Linked DNA regions of Cricetulus griseus. The protein of the gene in region 7 interacts with the protein of the main gene of each other region in a pairwise test. Links are inferred from orthologs where the notes say so. Each region holds a gene or a part of one and is shown on either strand. Other genes may lie near its edges.

Region 1 (3,965 bases), on a different chromosome or scaffold from region 7:
CAGCCTTTTCATTCTCCCAGTAGGGAGTTTCTGGGGCACAAATGTCTCTCTTTAGAATATCTTCAATCCTACCAGAATGGTTATACACTGAAGTAAGCTTCCCTAAGAAAGAAAAATAAGTGTTTAAGCCAAATATATATGTATGCATATACACATATGTACATATGTACACACACTGATATATATATATATATATATATATATATATATATATATCTTTTTATAAACCCCATGGCAATATGTGGAAGGATTCTCAAGGTGACACCTTGTTTAACCTACTCACAGGTGAGTAACCCCTGGTCAAAAGCACACACACCTAAAGTATGGCAATCACATGTAATTCATGATGACACAGTGTTCAAAGCTAGGTTACATCACAGGCTACCAGATCATGAAGTACAGAATCACCATTTAATACAGTTAACACTTACAGGACCTACTTGAGCAGGTGATATTCTATCTGTTTGATAAATATTTATTTTCTATCTATAATAATTGGTTTTTATGCAGAATAATTATTAGCTCATTTTTCTTGTTGATATATATGCTATTTTGTCACATATGTGTTCTGGATTTTGACTTCATACCAAACTTTGAGGTGCTTCTCCTTGAGAATTGTTCAGCTTTTGCTTCAGTAATGTTGATATGATACACAAGTTGGAAACATAGCTCTTCACGTGTTACATCAGTGTAACTGTCAGCTGTGGCTCAACAATGGCTCCACAGAGTTGCCTGGTCTTGACTCCAGGTTGCACTATGTCTTCTTCAAATCTCTCTTCTAAAACTGAGGATTGGCAAGTATAATCTACCTGAGGATTCTTAATGACAAGTTTATTGGGGTGGAGTACTAAGAGCATCCAAACACCCCCACCCTAGACTGGCTTATTTTCCAGACCATTGATCCATGCAGTTCACATGGGCCAAATTCAGCACCAATGGGACAAGCAACTGTAATCCACAGTGATCATTCAAGATAAGAACAAAGATTCAGAATGAAATTATCTCATATATACAGCCTGAAAATATAACTTTTATCTTTTGAAATTAGTATTGTGAGAGATAACTGAAATGATGTAGATAAATTATCTAAAATAAATTTATCTCCTGGTGGTGAGATATAATAAGCTGCCTGTTTTCTCTTTGTATTTCATAGGTTTTTTACATCATGTTTGGGAAGAAAAAGAAAAAGATTGAAATTTCTGGCCCATCCAACTTTGAGCACAGGGTTCATACTGGGTTTGATCCACAGGAGCAGAAATTTACTGGCCTTCCCCAGCAATGGCACAGCCTGTTAGCAGACACAGCCAACAGGCCCAAGCCCATGGTGGATCCGTCATGCATCACACCGATACAACTGGCTCCCATGAAGGTATGCAAGGATTCTGTCTTCAGGTTGACTTCAGCACCAGGCTCTGACTTGATTTAGTGTACTATCTTTATAAACTGGGTAACTTTAGCCACAGTTAGCCTTCATTTTGCAGCACATGAAAGGGAAATGTTGTCTTTGAATACTGATTATTGTAAAATTTAGATGTAAAATTAAGCTACAAAATGAATTTTTATTTCTGTCAATAATACCCAGCTCCTCTGATAATATCAGCAATAGATCTAATCAAATATTTTACTGGACATATTTCATTGTCTTCTATTTGCTCTCAAAATATTTATACTTACTATTATAAAATACAACGATAACAGATTTCAGTAGCAATAAATCATATTTATAAGCATACACTCAAATGTATGTGTCTATATGTATGATTTATACAGTAAATGTGTGTATCTTCACATTTATCTCCATAGTCTAAGAAAGAGATATTTCATATTAGCAAATAATTTCAGTCATTGAATAATTAACCTGAACAAACAGCTGGTAGATTTTTGATAAGGAATGTTCATGACTCATTAAGTTTCAGCTATGTTCAGTTACCAAAAAGACAATTCAGAGGTTGCAGCTTCTTCTTTACTGGAGGGTAAGAATTCTGTAGTCTATCAGGCAGTTGCCCACAAGCTCTCCATGGGAGTAAAACAGTATAGATATTTAGCAGAATAATATACATCAGATCACTCCAGAGTCTTCCAATCTCAACAAAGTATGAAACTCATGTTCCTCTGTCATTCATTATACTAGAACGTATCTTTGCTATGAGGATACTTACTCTGTGTGAACATTAATAGTGCCTAAATTGTGCTAAATTATATATAAAGTGATTCTACAGGATGTGAACAAAAGATATAGTTGATAAATGATAAAGGAGTCTGTTATCTCTTCAACTGGTTGAATTCGAATAGTGATCCAATGAAAGAAGTGTGTCGTCCCTTATTTTTGGACAGCAGGCTTCAGGAGGATTTACCTGAGTAGAAATCTACCACATGAGCCAGTATTCCTTGATGGGTCATGACTCCCATTGCCCCTGTTCAGAAACTCTAGCTTATCTATTTTGCCTACAACTTGTAAGAGTACATCTGTCCTTTGCAGACTCATTTATGCCAGGGCTTCTCAAGGTATATTGAGAATCACCTGAAGTGTCTTGCTAAAACAAATGTTCTAGTTGGGATTTCTATTGCAGTGAAGAGACACCAGAGCCACACAAATTCTTATAAAGGAAAACATTTAGTTGGGGCTGGCTTACACTTGAGAGATTTAGTCCATTGTCATTGGACTAAATTGGCTGTAATGGTACTGGAGAGGTAGCTGAGAGTTCTACATCTGGATCCAGGGGCAGTAGGAAGACAGGGAGCCCTTAGACCTGGCTTGAGATTCTGATACCTCAAAGCCTGCCCCCAATGACACACATCCTCCAACAAGACTGCACCTACTCCAGTAAGGCTGTACCTCCTAATAGTACTGCTCTCTATGGGCTTATGGGAGCCATTTTTATTCAAACCACCATAACACAGATATGGAGCTCTACCCCTGTATCTGATTCAGTAAAACTGGGTTAGAGCTTCTTGGTGTTCATTTCTAAATAATATCCTGCTGGTGCAAAGGCGGCTGGCCTAAAGAGATTTTGAAAATCTTTATAAAAGTAGTTATAAAAACTTATTTACATAGATGATATAATCAGAATGACTTTACACTGGTTAAAAAAAAAGTTCAAGATATCAGAATCTTAGATTTATGTTGAGTTGACTTTCTTGACCCCAAACCCCAAGCACATAAACTGACTGAAATCATCTGAATAGTCAAAGGGGAGTATACCTTTCAAACATTTGGCAAGGTCAGGAAATGAAGGTCAGTGATATGACCTGCACTTAGCATAAATTCAATGGGTTCAATTTCTAACAGCTCCTCTTCTTCCCCCACCAAGAATGTTTTTCATACTTAACTGTTTTGTCCATAAGAGCATCATAAGCAACATTACCCAAGTTGTTTCAAAATTAGCTGTGTTATATGCACATCTTAACGTTTTCTTCCTGTTTCTTTTTAATGTTAATTATTATTATAGCAATAATTCTAAATATTTTGATATATTTAAATTTTATTGTGATGTCATACTATATAACTATCTTCGAACTTCCTATTTATTTAAGATTGAGAAAAATTCTCATTCATACAGAAGACTTGAGTTTCGTTTAAATTGTAACTTTCTATAACTTGCTCATTTTTCTATAGAAGAATTCTACAAAGTATGTGCTATAACAGATAAAATTATCATGAAGATATGAGTGCTTGGTTTTCATAGTACAGTCTGGAACTCTTGGGAAACTTAGGTTCTTTGAGAAGTCTACCTGAGGTTACAGTAGGATTTTTCAGAAAGTAACATATATTGTAGTGTCATAGTTGATGCCTAAAATATCATGAACTCTCTACTCTTTTGCTTTATAAGCTTCTTATTTGTGTGGTGGTGGCCCATGCCTTTAATTCCAGCACTCAGGGGACAGAAGCAGGCAAATCTCTAAGTCTGGGGCCAACCTGGCCTACAAAATGAGTTCCAGGACAACCAGGGCTACACAGAGAAACC
Region 2 (3,500 bases), on a different chromosome or scaffold from region 7:
GTTCCTGGAAGGGAACACTCCACAGTGGACCTAGCAGGTAGTGATAACTGGGTCTTGTGTGAAGCCCTCTGTATCTATAGGTGCAGCCCTTCAATCTGTTTAATGCAGGGCAGCACTTACCCACAACACCCTAGTTCTCCAGAGATCATGCATAACACAGGTAATGGAACATCCTTGGTCTCTCCTCAGAAGGTTATTCAGCTATTTGGAGCCACTTACAGTGACTCCTTCATTTCCTCATTTAAAACCATGGTCTTTTTCTCGGGACGTCAGAGAACCATATGGGAATTGGCACTTGGAGGTTACCCTGGGGAGAACATATCCACTGAACTCTTTGGCATGTCTACAAGACCCACTTCAATGATCAACGGACAGCTGTCTGCCGTTTCTGGCAAGATGGTTCCTCTTCTTGTCCAATTATTAATTATTCCCAGGCTTGGGTTCCGCCTCTCCACGAGGGTGCTAGAGCCAAGAAGCTACATATCCACATTGTGGTTTTGAGTTGAGCAAACATCCTGCCTTGGTCTCCCTCTTTATATAGAACTCTCACCTTGCCTTTATCATATGGGGGCCTGCCTGCACTGATTGTCATTGGTCAGCTAAGCTATGACATCCCTGAACCACAGCTGGGCACACAGCCGAATCTGATTACCACCCACTGGGCTTTTTCTCAGAGGACTGAAATGCGTCATAACAATATAATAATAGCCCGAGATCCCATGCTGAGTCATTCCAAATGAATGGGGCCCCTGTGTTTTGCAGGATTACTGCTCTTCAACTCATAGGAAAGATAGCTTCCATCATCAAGGTTCCTTAGCAAATTTATCTGTAGCCCAGAGAAGTCCACTGCAGCCAGGCAGAGAGGATGGCCTGCTCATGGTGCCCTCCTTCGCTTTGAGCTGTCTGTTTTATTGGGAGGAGTCACATCACTGGACCCCAGGGCAGTCATGGTAGCAAGAAGAGACAAGAAGAGACATAATACCACAGACCTAAGGTGTTTAAGGGACTATTGATCACCTTCCGTCTAGGTGATCTTCGTATCCCCCAGTCTTGAAAAGCCAACAGAACCCAAGGCTACCTTGAAAGGTAGCTGCACCTTGCTGCCCAGATGGCAACTATCAATCAAGATGGAGCCTTTTGGCCTGAAGAGTGGCAGGGAAAGCTACTACCTTTCCTCAACACCCCCTGCTGAAGGGAAGTTGGTGCCCACACCCCTCCTTCCTGGGGGCTTAGTCCATTCTCTGACAGGTCCACCTCAGGCCTCAGGCCTCCTGCTCTCTGCCAGAATCAGATAAACCATGAGCTTTAGAAACGTGGATAACTCTAAAGTCAAGATCCTCCTGCCTCAGCCTTCAGCGTTTAAGGTTAGAGGTGTGTGTCAGCATGCTTGCCTGGAGCTGTGTGTCAACAGTAATTAGTGACTAGGGTATTGGGGTTTACATTAGGGTGCATAAGGTGGAAACAATCTCTTGCCCATATAGCTCCACAATGAGCCTGGAAAAGAGTCTGGATTTCTGGTCCCTCCACCCTTCCAGGCCTGTCCCGGATAGATCTGGGACTGAAGCACCCACCATCTTTCTGCCTGCTCTGGGGCTCCTTTGGGCCTCAGACCAGGACTGGAAAGAAGGGGAGTTGGGCTGGCTGTGAGCTAAGACTTGAACCTATAAACCATGTTGGATATGTGTGTAGTTAGTGGTGAGTACTTCTGAGACGAAGAGGGCCTACCAAATACTTGACCCAACCCCGGACAGGAAGTAGTAGTTCTCCATTTCTAAGCAGGGTACCTCAGAATCCTGGGACTTTGCTCACCTCTGGGCCTGGCCATTTCCCTTTCAGGGATTGCTGTTTGCAACATCCCATCTGCTGCAGTGGAGGAGACAGCCGATTCCACTGTCTGCCACATCCTCAATCTGTATCGGCGGAACACATGGCTGTACCAGGCCCTACGAGAAGGCACACGGGTTCAGAGCGTGGAACAGATCCGTGAGGTTGCATCGGGAGCTGCCCGGATCCGAGGGGAAACACTGGGCCTCATCGGTTTTGGTATGTGCCTCTTGAGACAGACTTGGTTCAAGGGAGTGGGGGTGGGTAGGTCAAGGGTCAAGAATAATAAGAGAACTTGACCGGTAGTGAGATCTGGGCCTGTTATACAAGAATCTGTCTATGTTGCTGGCCAGTGGTACAGCAGGAGTGCACCCTCTGCTGTCACTGGAAAGGACTGTGCTTGGTAAATCTCCCTGAGGCAGAGGGTAAAAGTTTGGCTGTACAAGGTGTGTTACTACTGGTGAGTGTGTGTAACTAGTGGTGAGCAGCAACCTGGGTCATAGGTCCTGAAGGCTCTTAAATATAGATGCCCCCCTCCCCCCAGCAGTAACATGAAATCACTTAAAGATTCAAGCCTGAGGGTAATGCCAAGCTGTGGGCTTGAAAATCTCTTGTGAGACTAGGACAAGACATAGTCTTTCTGGACTTGGTTGTTGCCATGGAGATATTTGAGCAGAGACCTGGGAGTCTCCAGCAAGTGTGGTAGGGGACCGAGGAAAGTTTAAGCGGTGAAGTGAGATAGACACATGCTACTGCTGTTATCCACACAGACTCCAATAGGACTCCTAGCTGGTTGCGATCACTAACTCACTCCATAACCTTAAGGAATTGTTTGGCTTCTTTGCCTCCATTTCTCGTTCTGTAACTAGAGCATTAGGTGGAAGCAGGGGGATACATGGCTGCTGCCTCTTGACTCTAAGGCAGCATAAGGAACACATGGAAAAGGTTGATTCTGGCTTCCAGAAATTTTTCTGATTCGTATCACCTTTAGCTCAGAGCTGGCTGAGGGTCAGGGCTTCTAAGACAGTTTTAGAAGAGGGAGGATTTACTGGATGACTCCAAGAGTGCTCCTCTTTCTATAGAGCTTCACTCTTCCCCTCCCCCCCCCAACCCCCGACCCCAAGCCTAGGCCTCTGGGGCAGTCAGAGTCTGAGTTCAAGATGCTGGGGAAGGCTCTGTGGTGTTTCACAGGTCTTCAGATATGCAGGTACCATGTGTGAGTACTATAGCACTCTCTGCTAGTACCCTCCTGTGCTTCCTGTGGCCATCCTATGAAGCCCTTCTGTGGCCTGGGATGGTCTCTATCAGGCTGTAGAACCTGTGGGCGGCTCTGAGCCAGCCGGTGAGAAGCCCCTCTCATTCTGGAGTCCCTGTACCCATCACATGTGCTTTTGTAATTGAGTGTTATTTGGCTGAGTGCTGACTTTCAGCTTTCCCAAGCCCTCCCCCTGGCTTCCCTACATTCATGGCTGCTGCAGTCTCCCTGGCTTCCTGTATAGCTCTAATGGTCTATGGCCCCCAGGAACTGTAGTGAAGAGACAGGAGAAAGGATGTTTGCGGCTGCCCAGAGCTGCGGCCAGCCTGCTGAAGAGCAACAAGGGAGGAGGCTCAAAGAAACCTGAAGCTGGGGCTGGACAAAGGTCCCTCACACTGCCTGCCATACTGATAAAAACTGT
Region 3 (3,500 bases), on a different chromosome or scaffold from region 7:
AACCTCCCTTTCCTTATCAAGAAGGACGCACAAGATGAGGTACACACCATGTAGGGCAACTCTTACTATGCTTCTCAAGTTGGAAAACTTTGGCTTTTGGTTACTTTTGTGGATGTAAACTATCCCTCCCTGCTCCATTGTCAGTAGCTTCATGTTAGCCTAGAGGTTTGGTTGAATGGTGTCCCACAGGTAAATGTTAAAAGATCTCTGCTTATCCTTGCAATAGCTTTTCAAAGATTAGCAAATTTTCTTGTACTTTTTCAAGTTGAAGACAGGAAATTGCTAAAGAAATAGTATTAGTGAGTATGGGATTCAGAATAGTGAGATGCTTGTAAGGAAACATTGCAGTTGACTACAAATTGAGTAGTAACTGCTATGAACCGAAGTTTCTGTCCCTCTTGGTCCTGCATTCCATTAGTCCCAAATGAACACACAGAGGTTTATATTAATTATAAACTGTTAGGCTGATGGCTCGGGCTTCTTATTGGCTAGCACTCTTGATTATTAACCCGTTTCTATTAATCTATGTATCTCCAGGTAGTCTTGGCTTACCATAGAATGCCCAGGCATCCTATCTTCCCGGTAGCTCCATGGCAACTCCCTTGTAACTCACTCCCTGCGTTCCTCTTCCCAGAATTCTCCTAGTCTGTTAGCCCCCACCTAGTTACATCCTGCTGTCCATTGACCAAACCCGCTTTAATCACCAACCAATGAGAGAAACATATTCACAGCATAGAGAAGGACATCCCCCATCAGTTTCTGTGCAGAAGACATGCCTGTATACCTTAAAACACAAAAGAGCTGAAAATTACTATTGTAGCCTTTGAGATGTTGATTTTTATAGAAAGGAATGAAAAATTTAGGTCTCATTAGAAAAATGCAACAGAATGAAACAAATGACATTTTTTATTTTATTTTTTAAATTTTACTTATGAATCGTTTGCATGTGTGTCTGTGCACTATGTGCATGATTGATATCCATGGAGTTCAGAATAGGGCATTGGATCCCCTACAGCTGTAGTTAGGGTTTGTGAGCCACCATGTGGGTGCTGGGAATTCAATCTGGGTCCTCTATAAAAGCAACAGGTGTTCTTAACAGCTGAGCTATCTCTCTAGCCCCAAAACCAGTACTTTGTTTTTTTTAAGACAGGGTTTCTCTGTGGCTTTGGAGACAGTCCTGGAACTCGCTCTTGTAGACCAGGAGGCTGGTCTCAAACTCACAGGAATCCGCCTGCCTTTGCCTCCTGAGTGCTGGGATTAAAGTTGTGCACCGCCACCACCACCCAGCTAACCAGTACATTTTTAAGAGACTCCAAGAATGAAAAATGGGATGGAGGAAAATTTTAAAGATTTGAAATTTATCCTAGAGAATAAAAGGCCAGAGTAAAAGGGCATGCCCATTTTAAAGCATAAATGCCAAAGAGAATGAAGCAGTGGACACTCTTGTCAATCATGGTCTCATAGAAACTCACGATGCAAGCAGGTTTGGAAGAATCTTAACACTTGGCAGATACTTACTGAATACATCTGCATATCAGGCACTGTTTTATATCACAGAAATAAAGCTAGGAATACAAAAGTATCTTCATGGGGCTTACTTGCTAGTAAAGAACACTTAGTTAACTATGTAGAAAAGTTGCATGTGGTAACTCACACCTGATTTCCCCACACTAGGGAGGCTAAGGCGGGAGGGTTGCCATACTTGAGGCCAGCCTAAAAATGTGTGTTTGTAGAGTTGTAGTTCATTCTCTCTCCTCCCCCTCTTTGTCTCTGTTTGTGTGTATGTATACATATGTAAGTATACATGCATGTGCTTAGTTGTTAATATATGTAAATTAAAAAGTAATCTACCATGTCTCTAGAATCGATTTTTCTTGCAATAATAACTGGATCCAGGTGTAAGAAGTACATATAATCCTCATCTTAAACCAGAGGCAAGGGAACTAATAGGTTATTAGGGATGCATAAACCAATTTGAGGGGACTCCTGTTTTCCAAAAGTGGTATACTTAACATCAGAAAGGAAAATTACAGCAGTAGACTGAATTAGATTTCCTTTAATGAGTTCATAATGATACCAAAAGTATATCAATCATTTGTAGTAAGTGCTGGGTCAGTAACTCATCCTGCCTTTTCATTACAACCAAATGTGCTGGCACACAGTAATATCATGATTTTGTATGTGGTGAGCATCCTGCTAGCCACAGCCACCAGTGGGATGTAAGTGAAGGAACAGTTGGTAGAGTGTAACGTTCTTGTTTGTTTTGTAGGTGCTGCCATGCTTACTGAGTCCCTTCTCTCTTCTCCTCTATCATCTTCCTTCAGTGACTGTCACCAGCCTTCTGCAACAGCTAATGAACCTACCTCAAAGTGCAACTGCACCAGCACCCTCCAATCCTCACCTCACTGCTGTGCTCCAGAACAAGGTTGTCTTGTCCGTTAGTGTCCTTAACTTATGTGGCATCTATATTGACTTAGGAAAATTAGGACTACTGTAGCTTTATGGAATTTGGGGCATCAAGCATCCAGTCTTTTTTACAATTATTCCGGTCCTCTTTAACTGTAGATTCCCATACTCATGAGGTCCCTGCTTCAGGTTAGTTCTGAAAATTAAAACTGTCTTGACATGAAGAACAAAGCTGGGTATGGATTATTAAAGTGTAGATTAACTACCTGTCTTCTTTGTTAGGGCTTTTCCCAAGAAATTCTAGCAAGCTTCTGATGAGTAGCAGTGACCAGGGTTTAGTCACATGGCATACCTAGCTGCAGGAAGGATGCATACAGCTTTCAGTTATGTCATATTAAAGATCCAAAGATTAAGGCAAAACTTGGTGCACTTGTGTGTAACCCCACCACTCAGGCCAGCCGGGCCTATGTGAGTTCAAAGCCAGCCTAGTTTACATATTGAATTCCAGGGCATAACCCCTACCTCCAAAAAAAAAGGGGGGGGGAGCTTTTTTTTCTTTTTTAGTTTAAAGCCCCTTAGAGGAAACCTAATAAGGAAGGAGGATCGTGAGTTTCTAAACAGGCCATGTCAGCTTGCCTGCCCTTTTCCAGCATTATGATCCTGAGTATTTGCTCAGCCGGTTTCCTGATCTGTGTTATGCAAGTGTGGGTGCAGGCTTTGCCCAGTGTTCTGGTATTTAGATGATACCTGGTAGATAGTAGGCGCTTGTTTAGGGCCATGACAAGCAATAGAGGTGAAGGCTCAGGACCTCTTCCTCCTTTTATCTGCCAACAGTAACAGGCCATCAGAGATAGAAAAGCATGCCTGTATCCCTCAGGATATAGGGAGGCTCTCAAGTGACCAGTCATGGTCTTCCTGTTACTTAGTCACTCTTAATTTGGAAAGAGCAGTAAAAAACCAGGAAGTCATACGAGATCCTGAGCTGATGAAAATTTGCTTGCAAATAGCATGAAGGGAAATTTTGTGGGGGGATTATCCTCTATAATATAAACCCAGGAAAGTAGAATGAAATCCCAAAATATACATCTATTTAT
Region 4 (4,021 bases), on a different chromosome or scaffold from region 7:
AGGTCTGCTCCCTCCTTAGAGAGTTCATGTACGGTGGTCCACAGTCACTTCTCGGATCCAGACAGTTGCTGACTTTAGTACCTGTGAGACAGAACACATGAACTCCTTTTTCTTTCTTCATCTCTTTTTTAAAGTCAGTGCCTCACTCTGTAGACCAACCTGGCCTCGAAATCACAGATATCCATCGGCTTCCACCTCCTGAGTATTAAAGGCGTGTGCCACCACAATCTACTCTCGTAAATACTAGTCTCTAAAAAAATGTTTCCCATGTTAGGAGCCAAGAGTTTACACACCAGAAGTCATATCTGAAGTCCTACAGAATCTCTTGAGGCTGAGTTGGCGACTGTCTACTAAGATAACCTAGTTGTCAGTGTCCATTTTCTTAGAACATTGTGTGTCCAGCGCGCTGTTTCCAGAGTCCGAAGCCTTTCTACCTTCTGTGGAGGTAAGACAATCTGTGTCTACTGCATGCACTGAGGAGCTGAGTTCGGAGTAGTTATTTTCTTAGGCTTCCTAACATACTGCAATGGGAGCGCTTCGGTATAGCGAGGCGTCGAAATCCCTTTTGCTGCTACAAAGTACTCTGCGTGGGGAGCGAACAATTGAAGCCTAAACGGAGATAATTCTTCATCCTCGGGGGCTTCTCAGATAGTCAGTTGTCTCCCCGCGCTGCCCAGTCGTTGGGATGCGGTTGTGTAGGGGGGTGGGGGGGGGAGGATTTCACACTGGTTTGGGGTGATGTCACACTGGCGGAGATGACATCCAGCAGCGGGAAACGCGACAGCCACCAGACGCCGGTAAAACACCTCGGAGACTGCTGAGCGGAGGGGGCGGGGAATCCGGTCCCCCTGACAGGATCCACGCTGGCTCCCCACGGAGGCCCATCCGCTGCTGCGGCCCGCCGCCCGAAGCAATGACTCCAGCTCTCCAGCCCCTCCTCACTTCCGCCCCAGTAGGTGTCATGGCGCTAGGTGGCTGAATGGTTCCGGCGGGGCGGGGCCGGCCGGATGAGGGCGGTCGCTCGGGGCTCCACTTGTCGGGTCTGGCGACAACGGCAGCTGCGAAGCGAAGGGCCGGGCCGTGGCCCCGGACGGCAGCGGGAGGCCGAGGCGGGAGCGCGCGGCGCTGAGGCGGCGGCGGGCGGCGGAAGGGGCCGGGCGGCGGGGCAGGCGGGAGGCTGGCGAGGCTCCGGCCGCGGGACGGGCGCGGGGACGGCTCCGGGGGCGGGGGCCGGGGCCCGGGCCGGCTCGTGCGGGGGGTATGATGACCCGGCGGCGGGGCCCCGGATCGCGTCTCCTCCGCCGCCTCCTCCTCGCGGCGGCCCCGACTCGCGGCTGAGAACTACACACACCGGCGGTGAGTCAGGCCGGGCGAGGGGATGGGGGCCCGGGCGTCCTGGGGTGGGCGCCCCGAGGTGGGGCCGAGCGGGCCGCGGACTCCCCTGGGCGGCCGGCTTGCAGCGGGAGCCTCTTGGGGCAGGCCCCGCGCGGCCCTGGGCGCTGCGTCCCGCCGCCTGGTCGCGAGCCGGCGGGACGCGACTGGGTGCCCGGAAAAATGGGCAACTCCCCCTGCCATCCTGCCACTTTCCTCCCGAGCTTGCCGCTGTTGTCCTCAGGTGACAGGGGCCCGTCTGGCAATCTCCCCACACTCGGGTTCCCCGCCCCTGCCCCTGGCTGCGGTGGCAGGCTCCCTATGTGAAGCTTGTGCGTGTGCATGTCACCCCACTGCCTGTCGCTGTAGCTCGGGCATATTTGTGCCTTTGGGGACCGGGAAGCCGTGTCTAGGGAAAATCGTGATGGTCGGGTTGTGTGGAAGCTTTTCTGTTCTCTCCGCTCACGCTCTGTAATCGTTGAGTTTGGAATTTGTGATGGTGGTGAGGCCCTGTGGGGGACCAGCCCACTTATATATTTATGTTTTCAAGGCAAAGCTAGAGGTCTTTTTCAAAAGAAACTTTTGCAGCCCGTCGTGACTTTCAAAGCCCAAAACAGCAACAATTAAAAAAAAAAAAAGCCCAAACGTTAAAGGAAAAGATGGAAACAACGAAAAATTCTCCGGTAGGGCCCAGACTATAAACAGCACTGTGGGGTGGAGTCCCCCTTTTTTCTTGGGAACCGAGACCTGAAACTTGGTCTCCAGGAGCGTTGGTCTAACCTCCAGTTTGTTGTGGTGACGATGAACCATGAGCAATGGCCTGTGTTTATGCTGGGCGCGCTTTCTTTCCTGTTTTGGGGATGGGACTGGGACTGAAAGGGGGGTGGGGAGGATAACCCCAAGCTCCAGTAAGTTAATCTTTATGTAACCACTGACTCAATTGTGGATACTCATTTTAAGATATTCATTCTTGTCTATTAGTGATACTTTGAGAAGTCTCAGTGTAGTGCAGCCACATACTGGTTTCAAGCGTAGACTTCACCTCCCCAGACCGCCCTTTATCTTGTTTCTTAGTAACTAATGAAAACAGCAGCATGGCTTCCTGCACTAGATGAAGTGGGGTTAAATTAAGAGCCTGATACCCTCAGCAAAACCTACAATTTTGTTCTTATTTGTGTAAAGCTATTTTTATTTTTGATTTATGGTCTGTAAGATTTTTGTTGTTGTTGTTGCTTTTGGTTAAGATTACAGAGAATGCAAATTATTGCCACCTTTTTTTTTTTTATTTAAAAGCCTAAGATTTTCTGTAAAACAATTAAAAAACCTAACAACTCATTTTACCTAATTATTGTTATTCAGCTGGTTATTTTGGGTATTTGCATGCAATTTTCTTAGGGCTCAGTGTTGCCTTATGATGAAGGCTTTAAGATACTTGCCTTGTCTTGTTGGTAAAGTATTTGAGATTGAAGCTGGAGGCTTCCAAACTGGTAAAGCATTTAACAAAAATGGTGACTACTATCTTGTATGTGTGTTGGTTCTGCTTGGCTAGTAGTTTGTGATAGCCTCATGGACAGTTGATCTCTGGACGTTGTATTTTACAGACTTTAGAGCAAGCTTATTGGTAATGAGATTTAAAATCAAACCAGATCTTCCTCCTGAAAAAAAAATATGTCAAAGTTCACATTTGTCTGGAAAACAGAATTCTTTCCTTCTTTGTTTTTGTTTTTATAAGCATAGATCCACCAGTGGTTTGTTGGTGGAAATCAGTGAGCCAAACCTGCCTGTGAACTTCTTATACTTGAAACTTGTGCAGCTTGTTAGTTATGTATTTTAATTGGTTCTTTTGTAATTTGAATAATTTCATCAGCCTGATCTGTCACCTGCCCTTTTCTTGACTGTGTGACAACAATATGTTTTTGGTGGGCCTTCCCCCCTACTAGTTCCTCTTCAGTTTCTCCTTCACTACAGTTCTTGCTGTTTTGCACATAAGTTATTAAGATCATTTTTCTGAGTGAACACTTAATTTTCTTCTTTTTGTTTGTTACTAATGCTCTTTGGTTGACCAGGCTGACCTCGTACTCCTGAGCTGAAGGGATGGTCCTGCGACAGTGTTACTGAAACTTCATGGTGCCTGGTGTGGGTCTACTTTTGACTTTGATTGTGTCTTTCTTTTTGATTGTAGAAATTCAGCTAGTGTATGCATAATGTATTTCTGTAGGACGTATTTTGTTACATTTATTCAGAGTGTGTGTGTGCGGGAGAAGACAAATTACAGGAATTGGTTTTCTGTCATGTGGGTCCAGGGGTTAGAACACATGTTTTCAGACTTAGCAGCAAATGCCTCTAACCATTGAGCCATTTTGTTGGCCCTCTAGTGCCTTTTATAGATAACTTTTTCCTTTTTGGTTGCCGATCTCTTCCGCAGCCTTCTAAGGGTATTGAATAAAACATTGTATTTCTTTGGATTCTTTAAAGGCACCTGGTACCATGTTTTCCTTGTTGCTTAATGAAAAGAAACCAGGAGACCTGAATTCTTTGCCAGCATTTTGCTCATTAACTCTGTGTAAAACTTATTTGGCCTTTTTGAGTTTCTGTTTTTCCAGATTAGAATTAGAGGATTTTAGAAAGACTCCTTTTAAAGTCTGTTAGC
Region 5 (2,746 bases), on a different chromosome or scaffold from region 7:
AGCATGCTCAAGACCCTCGGTTTGATTCCCAGGGCTACATAAACTCCAAATCAGAGATCCTCCAGCCACTGCCTCCTGAGTGCTGAGATTAAAGCATGTGCCATTATACCCAGCTTGGTTCCAGTCTTAAACATGACCTTAGCCGCATAGCATCCTCACGATGGCAAATATGTTTTATCCCCCAGTTATCCTTTTGGCTCAGTGTGTCCGGCTAGCCTCTTTATTGTCTTGAGTCCAGCCTCCAGGTCTCTCCTCCAGCCTGGCCTCCGGAGGAAGGCCTGTGGGATCTGGTGGGACAGGATGGACTTCTGAGCATGGCCTCTCGTTATTTTTCCTACCTCAGGGTCCCGTTGTGCACACTGACCACAGTGACCTGATTCTGGATGAAAAGGAGGCTCTGGAGACAGCGGTGAGTATGGGGGGAGGAGATCGCTATCCATCACCGAGTCTCCACCTCTCCCCACTTGCTCTTTTTTTAAGCTTGATGGAGTCAGGGTTCCACACTTGTACAGCCAGATTTGGTCTTTCTCCTGCCACCCCTGCAGCGCTGGGAATTACAAATTAGGACTTCAGACCTCAGCACCATACCTGGCTGCTTCCCTGCTTCCATCTGCTTTTGATTCTGTTGCCTTAAGACCTACCTTTGCCAGGTGGTGGCGCACGCCTTTAGTCCCAGCAGAGACAGAGGCAGGAGGATCTCTATGAGTTTGAGGCCAGCCTGGTCTACAGAGCGAGTGCCAGGAAAGCCATTACACAGAGAAATCCTGTCTTGCAAAGAAAAACAAAACAAAACAAAAACTACCTTTAACTCCTCCTGGGCCAGCTCACAGATCACAGCTCACAGGCTCCAGAGTTCAAGTTATCCACTACTAGCTCTTGTAGACCAGGCTGGTCTCAAACTCACAGAGATCCGCCTGCCTTTGCCTCCTGAGTGCTGGGATTAAAGGCGTGCGCCACCAACGCCCTGCAAGTTATCCACTGTTGTTTTGGTCTCTAGCCCCGTTCTTTGTTCTTTCCCCATCAGCCCCGTTTCGTGCTTCTAGGTGCCTCTTTGACTGCTCTCTACCAGCTGGTAGCCTTCCTCCCACTTGGTCCCACCCTAACATCTCATGTTTCCCAAAGACAGTTCTGCTTTGAAATCCTATCTTAGGATACACGCATTGATTCCGACCCTGGCTCCCATTCTAAAGCCCCCTCTCTGACTTTTCTTTGAGACAGAGCCTCATGTATCTCAGGCTAGCCTTGAACTGACTGTGTAACCAGAATGATCTAGAAGCTGGGTCGACGGTGGCGCACACCTTTAATCCCAGCACTCGGGAGGCAGAGGCAGGTGGATCTCTGTGAGTTCCAGGCCAGCCTGGTCTCCAGAACGAGTGCCAGGACAGGCTCCAAAACAATACAGAGAAACCTGTCTTGAAAAACAAACAACAAAAAAAACCCAAACAAACAAAAAAGAATGATCTAGAACTCCTGATTATGCTCCCGAGTACTGGGATTAAAACCATATGCCACCACACTGAGTTTCTGTAGCGCTGTGAATCAAACCAAGACAAGCACCCTACCGACTGAACTACATCCCTCTTGTCTGTATTTGATCGTACTTTTCTCTTGACCTGAAGCCAGCCAGCCCTCCTGCCCTCTCTCCCCCCTCCCTCCCTTCCCAGTCTCCCTCCCTGCCCCTCCTTAACTTCAGCCAGACCTTGCTTGTTCTAGGAAGCCAGCGCTTCCCCTGTCTCTGCCCAGCGATTCCTGTCTAGGATTTGCTGCTCCTGCTGTCTCTGGTTTCTGCCACCACACCTCTCTCTAGGTCTGGCTGTAGCTCCGTGTGTCTCTGCATCCATGATCCTTACCTTCCTACACCCTCACATTCCATACCAAGTCTCACTTTGTCCCCAGGATCCAACCAATGGTTACTACAAGGTCCGAGGAGTCAGTGTGAGCCTTAGCCTCGGGGAAGCCCCGGGAGGAGGCCTCTTCTTGCCACCCCCCTCTCCGATTGGACTTCCAGGGACTCCTACTTACTATGACTTCAAGCCACACCTGGACTTAGTACCCCCCTGCAGACTGTACAGAGCACGGGCCGGTTACCTCACCACCCCCCATCCCCGAGCTTTCGCCAGCTACATGAAGCCTACATCCTTTGGACCCCCGGATTTGAGCTCTGGGACTCCCCCCTTCCCCTACGCTACCTTGTCTCCACCCAGCCACCAGCGTCTCCAGACTCATGTGTGAAGACATCTCTCTAACTGAAGAGTCTTGAGATCGCCAACTTGCCATTGTGTGCTGTCCAGCATTCTCAGGAAATCAGAGCAAGTTGATGACCTACTCCTCCAAAACTGGACGCCAAAGGAGGGAAACAGCCGTCAGGATCATTGATGCCTAATAGGCTCAGCCAAAGGGGATGCTCCAAGTACGAGCAATGTGACCATGTGCCTGTTTAATCTCCTGGGAGAGAGACATTCAAAATGGTGACTAAACTCTTCGCAGGGGGACAAAGGCAGGAAGTGTAGGGAGTTGGGGACACGGATGGAAGGCATCTGTAGCCAGTAGAAAAGGTATTTGAAAATAACCATCTGCACCAAGAACAATGATAGCATAAGACAAATTAAGGTAAGAGAAATAATTCCCCCCACCCAGTCCTGACTTTCCCAGGAGGGGAACTTTGGTCAATAAAAGTATAGCCAATATGGCTGTTCATTCTATGAGAACTCAAAATGACGGCTGTCTTGATTCCTTCCTTAAAGAC
Region 6 (4,174 bases), about 370 Mb from region 7:
TGGGTGCTGGGAATTGAACCTGTGTCCTATAGAAGAACAGCCAATGCTGAGTTATCTCTCCAGTCCTCCCTGTGTGTGTGTGTGTGTGTGTGTGTGTGTGTGTGTGTGTGTGTGTGTGTGTGTGTTCTGGGGTTTGAGCAAAAGGCAGGCCTCATGCATGCCATTGTCACAACTCCAAATTCTATGAATAAATTTAAATGCCAGGGAAACAGAGACCTTGTATGTCATGCTTATCTCTTTCAGCAAACCTGGGTCAGTGTCTGAACATGCTCAATAGACTTTCTTTTTCTTTTTTTTAAGACAAGGTCTCTTGGGCTCAAACTCACTATGTAGCTGAGGCCATAATGAGTTTGAACTCCTGACCTTCCTGTCTTCACCTCTTAAATCCTGCAATTATAGGCCTAGGCCAGGAAGCCTGGGTTTTTTGTTTTTTGACAAGGTCTTGGGTGGCTTGATCATTGTTTAGCCCAGGCTGGTCTTGAACTGACAGCATTCTCCTGCCTCAACTCTCAAGTTCACAGATCAAAAAATATTTGTTGAGCCGTATGGTTGTGGCCCCAAACCTTTAATCCCAGCACTCTGGAGCTAGAGGCCAGTGGATCTCTGTGAGTTTGAAGCCAGCCTGGTCTACAAAGCAAGTTCCAGGACAGCCAGGGCTGTTACACAGAGAAACCCTATCTTGAAGAAAAGAAAAACAAAGGCCTAGAATCCTTCCCCCTTTTTTTTTTTCACCGCCCCAGACAAGGTTTCTTTGTTTACCTCTGGCTGTTCTGGAACTCACTCTGTAGACCAGGATAGCCTCAAGAGATGCGCCTGCCTCTGCCTCCTGAGTGCTGGGATTAAAAACTGCCATCACTGCTGACTTCAGAGGCCTAGCATCTTTTCAACAAAACCTCCGGCCCAAAGCTACTTTGTAGTGTTGCATGCTTTAATTCAGTATTAGGTAAGTAGAGGCAAGTGGACCTCTTTGAGTTTTGAGCCAGCATGGTCTACATAGAGAGTTGTAGTCCAGTCAGGGTTACAAGGTGAGACCTTGTCTTAAAAACACAAAACCAAAAACCAATACCAGCCAACCACAGCAGGTATTTTCCTTTTCGTTTTGTATTTTCACAACAGCTGTTTTTCCATCTAAGATTCACAGCTTTTTTGGCTAGGCTGCACATGGAAAAGTACCTCTAGGACCCCGAGCACCTTTTTCTTTATGAATGAACCGGCTCAGGTCTACGCATGTGCAGCTCCCAAAATTCCCGCTCCACGTGAGCCCACTGGTCCCTCCTTGTGGGCGACTCCGCCCGCCCTCATTCTAATTGACCAATGGGGAGCAGCCTGGGGGCGGGGCCGGGAGCCGCCCAGCCGCGTATTCCGCCCCTCCCCCGCCCCTGGCGCCCGGCTCCCTTGCGTAGAGCCGCAGTGTTGTGATCACGTGGGCTGCCCCGGGCGCGCGGCTTGTTTTGATTTCCTTTCCCTTCACCCGGCTTATCTTTGGTGAGCCGCGGTCCTTCCCGGGGTCCCCTGCCGCCTGCACTCCAGCTAGTGTTCGGGCTCTCTTGGTCCGCGCTCCTAGGAGCCCCTCGGAGCGGCGTCCTGTCATGCCTCTGGTGCGCTACAGGAAGGTGGCCATCCTGGGGTACCGCTCGGTAGGTGAGTCTCCGCCCTCCCGAGAGCACCAGCGGTGGCAGCACCGTTGCTTTGTGTCCAGAAGAGGCGCGCTGTCGCGGGAATGTGACTAGAGGAGCCAATGTGGACGGGGAAGAAGTCGTGTGGAGGGATGCTGGAAAAGGAGCACTCAAGGGTTAAAGTGGACCGGGCTGTGGTTGCATCAGTGGTCCCTGAGTTACTCTGGGAACAGGGGTGGGATCAGCATTTGAAGGCGTGGTGGAGGTCTGCGCGAGGCAGACACTTGCAAGTGTCCTTGGGCTGGTGCACTAGATCCTAGGGAGTCCTGGATCTTCCAAAGGGTGAGGTGGGGTGGGGTGGGGCAGGGAAAGGCTTCCTATGGCAGTGCTGAATGCATCCCAGGAGCCAAACTGCTGCGGAGTCAACGCGTAAGGATGTTCGTAGTAGTAGTCCAAGGGGAAGCATTGCTTGGAGCTGGGGGTCTTTCACTGAATGGGAAGCTGATTTGGGATGCGTTTTGGTCCTGGCCACAGTCCGAAAGGACAAACGGTGTGAATGTAGGTGGATGATTATATTACAACAATCTCTGGTCCTTAAAGGGAAGACATCTTTGGCCCATCAATTTGTGGAAGGCGAGTTCCTGGAAGGCTACGATCCTACAGTGGAGAATAGTGAGTAATGTTCTTTAGTGTGAAGGAGATGGAACCTAGATAGACTGGGTACCCTCTCCAATTACATAATTTGATATTTCTTTGTTACCAAGGGGCTGATTTATTTATGTGTTAATCATATCAGTTCTGGGAATCCTGTTCTGTGAGTGTCTAGGGCAGTGGTTCTCAGCCTTCCTAATGCTGTGACCCTTTAGCATTTAACTGCAGTTCCTCATGTTCCCCCACCATAAAATTATTTCATGGCTACTTCATAACTGTAATTTTGCTACTGTTATGAGTTGTAATGCAGGATATATGATATGCAGGATATATGATATTTGACCCTCCAAAAGGTTGTGAGCCACAGGTTGAGAACTGATGGTCTAGAGAGTAGAATTTGTAAGATTTTAGTCCAGGATAGTATAGAATCTTTACTATACTAAAGATGAGGACAGCAAGAACCCTAGCATAACTCTCCAGATCCTGGAAAGTTCCCTGGAACTAGTCTGTCTCTGTTACTCCCAGGGTCAGGAATGTAAAGGAATACACATCACTGGTCCTACAAAGCACCTCACAGTCAAGAAGTTTTCCTCTTTGTTTTTCCAGCTTACAGCAAGACAGTGACTCTTGGCAAAGATGAGTTTCATCTACATCTAGTGGACACAGCAGGGCAGGTACCAATTGGGGTAGGGTGTCCAAATGTTGCAGTTCCCCCTGTATAAAGTCTTGTGGTCTGTGTGTTTCATGTGTGATGTAGTATGAAAAGAAAAGTATTTTAGCTATTAACAGTGTACAAGGCTCATTGGAGCTACTTTATAAATACTTGTTGAATGGGAGCAAGGAATGTCTCTGAGAGGGTCACCTGTATGTTATCCCAACAGCTTGTGCCATTTGAATGGTGTGGCTCTTAATACTCATGTTTCTGTTTCTTGTCAGGATGAGTACAGCATTCTGCCCTATTCGTTCATCATTGGGGTCCATGGTTACGTGCTTGTATATTCTGTCACCTCTCTGCATAGGTGTGTGACTAAGATTTTGAGTGGGGCTTGGAGGACTCAACAATAATCCTAGAACTGAGATTAAAGCTCTATCTCTTATGTTTTGAAGCTTCCAAATCATTAAGAGCCTGTACCAAAAGCTACATGAAGGCCATGGTAAAACTCGGTAAGTGGCCCCAGGAAATAGAATGTGGGAATGAAGGTGTGGAGGAAAGCAATCATGGGGATTCTTCCAGGAGGCTGGCCATGGATCATGCCTGGCTTGTTTGGGGAATCATCTAGCCTTGCTGTAGTTAGACTAGTTGGGGTCCATAGAGATTGGGGAAAGGACTCTTTTTTTTTATTATTAATTTATTTTTTACATTCCAGGAAAAGGGTTCTTATAATCATACAATAGTAACTGCTGTTTCATCACAGGCTACCTGTGGTGCTTGTGGGGAACAAGGCAGATCTCTCTCCAGACAGGTGTGTAAACCCCTGTTGCTCATGGCAAAGGAAAGTAAGTTGTACTAGGGATCAGTCAAGCTGTAGTCCTGCCTGCCTCTGTTTGAGACAGGATCTTCACCATGTAGTCCAGGCTGTCCTTTTAAGTCCCTGTCCTCTTGCCTTTCTAGCAGTGCCAGCGGAGATTGTAGGGGTGGGTCACTATGTCTAGCCATTTTCCCTCTTTTCATCATTACCTTGATGGTTACTTAAGAATAACTCTAACATAAAGCCATAATTCCTATTTCAAGCTTCAGTCTTACATTTACCCATCATGCTTTTGTTTACATGTATTTTTTTCTCACCTCACCCTCATCAAACCTTGGGGGAGGGGTGTGAAGCATCAAGAGGAAATTAAATCTTAAAGAATTTTCAGACAAAAAAAAAAAAAAAAAAGAATTTTCAGACAGCTTGCAGGCATTGTTT
Region 7 (4,005 bases):
GCTCTCTCCACCCTTCAGCATAACCGGTACCCTGAGGACGCTCCACTCTGAAGGCTTCAGCTTTGGTGGCCTGTGTCCTGCTTTGGGTGTGAACCCGGTGTCTCCTACTTTGTGGAAGGGAAAGTTCAAACTCATAAGCCCGCAAAGAGGCAGGCCCTCCAGGTTTGAGACATCTGTCGCTGCCTGAAGTCTGAACTCTAAGGCAGACCAAGGTGTTGTGTGAGAATTTCCCACTGTGCTTGCTGAGAAAGCCTTTTCCTTCATCTTAAGCCAGTACAGCCATGGAGAAGGGGGTTAGGATAAGGGGGTTCCTTGGTGCACCCCTTTAACTTCCCCCAGTCTCCTTTGCAACAATGACACCACCTCTTTCCTGTGGGTCCTAGGGGAATCTTCTTCACTACCCAGCCCTTTGAGCATGTGCTTCATAGTGGAGGAGGGTGGAGCTGGGGAGTTCTGACTTTGGGCCCGGAGACTGGCATTGGCCAGCAGAAGAGACTGGGAACCCCATTTCCCTGCCCCCCCATTCTTCTTGCTCCTGTTCCAGAGGCAGCTGTGTGGGTGACCTCATCCCACAAACATGCTTTGTTCCTGAGAAAATGGAAAGTGTCTGAGGTTTGGTGGGGGGCTGGGTGTCTGCAGCAACAGCTCTCTGGGCTCCCCTTCTGTTACTCCCCGTCAGGAAGGAGCCTTACTAGGGCTCCAGGGCCTCCTGTTTTCTCACCTTTTCCTTCTCTGGCCTTAAACCCTGGGGAATCAGAAAAAAATAGGCAGAGGCTGTCTGTCCAGATGCAAGCCAAGGACATATCATGACCCTGGGTCTTTGCAGAGCTACCAGCAGAGACACCTGGAATGGGGGGGGGGGCACAGAGTGCTGCCCTCTTTCTGTGTCTCCACTTCCCTTCTGCCTCCCCAGGGATGTCGGTTTTCCCCTTTTTTTCTCCCTCTGGCTGGCAAAAAGCTGACATCTGGCCCTCTGCAGTGCCTCAGCTGCAGCAGATGTTGCAGCCAAGACTGCCCAGGCTGGTGTGACCAGAGACACAGCAGAGGTGGTAGGGGATGAGGCCCAGGGTCCAGCTGGGGAAATTTGGCTGTGTCCAGCTTGCAGGGTTTCCTTCCTGCCTGAACCTAGGCTGAGCCTCCTAAGTGCTTGCTTGGCTGATTCTCCAGGGAGGGGAGGCCCAACTTCTCACACCGCCCTCATCAGTCAAGCATCTCTCTAGCATTCCGCTGTTTCCTGCATCGGTGGGGAGTTGTGGGGGTGGGGGTGGGACAACAGCCCATCCCACCCGAAGCTCCCCAGATCAGAACTCTAGATGAATGTCCCCATATCTAAACTCCTATGGCCATCCCGGGAATGAGGAGGTGAGAGTTCGGTCTATATACAGTAAGGTTGGTGGCCCCCTGTCCTGGCCTTTAGCACCCTAGGGACAGTACAGAGAGTGGAAGCAAACCTCAGGCTGCACTGCGCTGCAGGAAATGAGTCACTGACCCAGGAAAAGCCCCCTCCCCCCAGATCAGCCAGGGCCTAGATAAGAAAACAACTTCTGCTTCCTGATTTTTTCCTGACCCCTTCCTATCCTCAAGCATGCACTGAACCTAAGACTCTTGGGTTCCCACAACAGTCTCCCCCTCCACCCCGACCTGCTTTCATCTCTTCTTTGCCTCCTCTCTTTTTTTTTTTTTGAATGCAAAGAGCTCTTGTCCTGTCTATGCTAGAGCCCTTCTAGGTGAACTCTGCCCCATCTTGTGTTCCTAACAGGGCTTACTCAGCATCACCACCATGAGCGAGGCATTTGACTGTGCAAAATGCAGTGAGTCCTTGTACGGCCGCAAATACATCCAGACAGACAGTGGCCCCTACTGTGTTCCCTGCTATGACAACACCTTCGCCAACACCTGTGCCGAGTGCCAGCAGCTCATCGGGCATGATTCAAGGGTAAGAACCAGACCAGATGGGTGAGAGTAAAGTGCAGACTGGTGGGAGGGGGGCAAGGATAAATCCACCAAGCCCAGATGCTAGTGCCCCCGCTCTGTCTCCCAAAGGAACTGTTCTATGAGGATCGCCACTTCCATGAGGGCTGCTTCCGGTGCTGCCGCTGCCAGCGCTCCCTCGCTGATGAGCCCTTCACCTGCCAGGACAGTGAGCTTCTCTGTAATGACTGCTACTGCACAGCCTTCTCTTCACAGTGCTCTGCCTGTGGGGAGACTGTCATGCCTGGTATGTCCCAGGGCCTCATCCTGGGTTTGGGACCTGTCATCTGAGAAGGGTCTTTGCGTCTGCCCATCTCATACGTGCATGAGGTTTGGTGTAGGTAGAGACCTAGGCATACTACAGGTTCCTGGAACATGTACGGATCTGTTGTGCATGTATGCTCTTTAGAGCTTAATGCACACACAGATTGATGCACCCAGCTGTACACTCAAAAGCTTGGTGAATACCAAAACTGACAAGCTGGAGGCTTAGTGTGTATTAGACCAATAGGCTTATGTGCGTAGCACTGACATACTTGATGCACACACAGGCCTTAGCATGTGTGAAGACCTGCATGCTTGGTTCATATAAGAGCTAAGGATATACTGAGATTCTCAGGGTTGCTGCATTGAAATTTTGTGTGCAGAGATCAAATTGTAGGCTTAAAATGTATGGTGTCCTGCACACCTCATAGGTATGTGAGGACTTACATGTGTAGAAAATGATATACCTAGAACTTGCAAAGGCTTAGCATGTACTAAACCTGTCATTCCTAGGGCATTAGGCTTTGTGTAAGCAGAGTTGCCTGGCTAGTGGGATCTTGCCTGAGTGTTAAACTGGTATTTCTGGACAGGTAGTAGTGGCACACAGCTTTAATCTCAGCACTTGGGAGGCAGAGGCAGAGGCAGGCGGATCTCCGAGTTCCAGAGCAGCCTGGTCTGCAGAGCAAGTTCCAGGACAGGCTCCAAAGCTACAAAGAAACCCTGTCTCAAAAAAACCAAAAGAAAAAAAAAAAAAAAAGAAAGATCCTATGAGGGGGCATGGAAGGTTTAACCTATGTGCTTAGCATGTGCTGAACCCTCATGTCCAGTTTGGGGAAAGAGGCTGGCATATGTAACATAGATGGTGGGAGTCTTACAACTCTACTAGGTTATAGAAGCAGTAGGGATAGGTTGGGGAGTAGAATTGACTGTGACCCTCGGGAACTTGGGACAAAGACTCTAAGTGGGATTCCTGTTTCCCACAGGGTCCCGGAAGCTGGAGTATGGAGGCCAGACATGGCATGAACATTGCTTCTTATGCAGTGGGTGTGAACAGCCTCTAGGCTCCCGTTCCTTCGTGCCTGACAAGGGCGCTCACTACTGCGTGCCTTGCTATGAGAACAAGTTTGCTCCTCGGTGTGCCCGCTGCAGCAAGGTGGGGGCTGGGCCTGTGAATTCAGGGTAAGACCTGTTGTGGGTGGGAATACTCACTCCCCTGCTGATGGGTGATGCCCCCACAGACGCTGACCCAGGGTGGAGTGACATATCGAGACCAACCCTGGCATCGAGAATGCCTGGTCTGCACTGGGTGCAAGACCCCCCTTGCAGGACAGCAGTTCACATCTCGGGATGATGATCCCTACTGTGTGGCCTGTTTTGGAGAACTCTTTGCACCCAAGTGCAGCAGCTGCAAGCGCCCCATCACAGGTGGGAGCAGTGGCGAGGCTGCAGGTAAGAGTATGGCTGTGATCCTGGGTGAGGCTGAGGGGCAGCAGCGCCACCAGTCTGCAAAACTAACCTCCACCTCTCCTCCAGGAGGAGGCAAGTATGTGTCCTTCGAAGACCGGCATTGGCACCACAGCTGCTTCTCCTGTGCCCGCTGCTCCACCTCCCTGGTGGGCCAAGGCTTCGTACCAGACGGAGACCAAGTTCTGTGCCAGGGCTGCAGCCAAGCAGGGCCCTGAGCCAAGGCTCCTGACTCTTCCCCTTTCCCAAACCAAGGGTTCAAGACTTTGGCTCTTTTTCTGAACCACTTTTGGAACCCAGCCCCTC

What was found.
Region 1: the proteins of Fhl3 (region 7) and Pak5 interact in a two-hybrid assay, tested with the Homo sapiens proteins (2 studies listed by BioGRID and IntAct). The two-hybrid records come from large-scale screens. The link is inferred for Cricetulus griseus from reciprocal best matches to the Homo sapiens genes FHL3 and PAK5.
Region 2: the proteins of Fhl3 (region 7) and Ctbp2 interact in binary tests that used the Homo sapiens proteins (3 or more experiments, as listed by UniProt). The link is inferred for Cricetulus griseus from reciprocal best matches to the Homo sapiens genes FHL3 and CTBP2.
Region 3: the proteins of Fhl3 (region 7) and Patl1 interact in binary tests that used the Homo sapiens proteins (3 or more experiments, as listed by UniProt). The two-hybrid records come from large-scale screens. The link is inferred for Cricetulus griseus from reciprocal best matches to the Homo sapiens genes FHL3 and PATL1.
Region 4: the proteins of Fhl3 (region 7) and Hipk1 interact in binary tests that used the Homo sapiens proteins (3 or more experiments, as listed by UniProt). The two-hybrid records come from large-scale screens. The link is inferred for Cricetulus griseus from reciprocal best matches to the Homo sapiens genes FHL3 and HIPK1.
Region 5: the proteins of Fhl3 (region 7) and Kirrel2 interact in binary tests that used the Homo sapiens proteins (3 or more experiments, as listed by UniProt). The two-hybrid records come from large-scale screens. The link is inferred for Cricetulus griseus from reciprocal best matches to the Homo sapiens genes FHL3 and KIRREL2.
Region 6: the proteins of Fhl3 (region 7) and Rhebl1 interact in binary tests that used the Homo sapiens proteins (3 or more experiments, as listed by UniProt). The two-hybrid records come from large-scale screens. The link is inferred for Cricetulus griseus from reciprocal best matches to the Homo sapiens genes FHL3 and RHEBL1.

Annotation. Positions count from the first base shown.
Region 1 is NC_048599.1:42,473,759-42,477,723, forward strand, and holds the start of Pak5 (serine/threonine-protein kinase PAK 5), read left to right. Parts: upstream 1-1,165; coding exon 1,166-1,369; intron 1,370-3,965.
Region 2 is NC_048596.1:67,842,629-67,846,128, forward strand, and holds part of Ctbp2 (C-terminal-binding protein 2), read left to right. Parts: intron 1-1,836; coding exon 1,837-2,043; intron 2,044-3,500. UniProt on the Homo sapiens protein: Corepressor targeting diverse transcription regulators. Functions in brown adipose tissue (BAT) differentiation. Isoform 2 probably acts as a scaffold for specialized synapses.
Region 3 is NC_048596.1:48,669,268-48,672,767, reverse strand, and holds part of Patl1 (protein PAT1 homolog 1), read left to right. Parts: coding exon 1-39; intron 40-2,269; coding exon 2,270-2,425; intron 2,426-3,500. UniProt on the Homo sapiens protein: RNA-binding protein involved in deadenylation-dependent decapping of mRNAs, leading to the degradation of mRNAs. Acts as a scaffold protein that connects deadenylation and decapping machinery.
Region 4 is NW_023276806.1:53,160,682-53,164,702, forward strand, and holds the start of Hipk1 (homeodomain-interacting protein kinase 1), read left to right. Parts: upstream 1-1,221; 5' UTR 1,222-1,356; intron 1,357-4,021.
Region 5 is NC_048602.1:5,379,680-5,382,425, forward strand, and holds the end of Kirrel2 (kin of IRRE-like protein 2), read left to right. Parts: intron 1-343; coding exon 344-409; intron 410-1,896; coding exon 1,897-1,935; intron 1,936-2,204; coding exon 2,205-2,246; downstream 2,247-2,746. UniProt on the Homo sapiens protein: May regulate basal insulin secretion.
Region 6 is NC_048595.1:395,350,090-395,354,263, reverse strand, and holds the start of Rhebl1 (GTPase RhebL1), read left to right. Parts: upstream 1-1,374; 5' UTR 1,375-1,589; coding exon 1,590-1,641; intron 1,642-2,150; coding exon 2,151-2,288; intron 2,289-2,873; coding exon 2,874-2,941; intron 2,942-3,203; coding exon 3,204-3,286; intron 3,287-3,374; coding exon 3,375-3,431; intron 3,432-3,682; coding exon 3,683-3,730; coding exon of another isoform or gene 3,731-3,764; intron 3,765-4,174.
Region 7 is NC_048595.1:28,358,427-28,362,431, reverse strand, and holds the start of Fhl3 (four and a half LIM domains protein 3), read left to right. Parts: upstream 1-1,205; 5' UTR 1,206-1,317; coding exon 1,318-1,362; intron 1,363-1,759; coding exon 1,760-1,936; intron 1,937-2,043; coding exon 2,044-2,218; intron 2,219-3,218; coding exon 3,219-3,388; intron 3,389-3,473; coding exon 3,474-3,684; intron 3,685-3,768; coding exon 3,769-3,917; 3' UTR 3,918-4,005. UniProt on the Homo sapiens protein: Recruited by SOX15 to FOXK1 promoters where it acts as a transcriptional coactivator of FOXK1.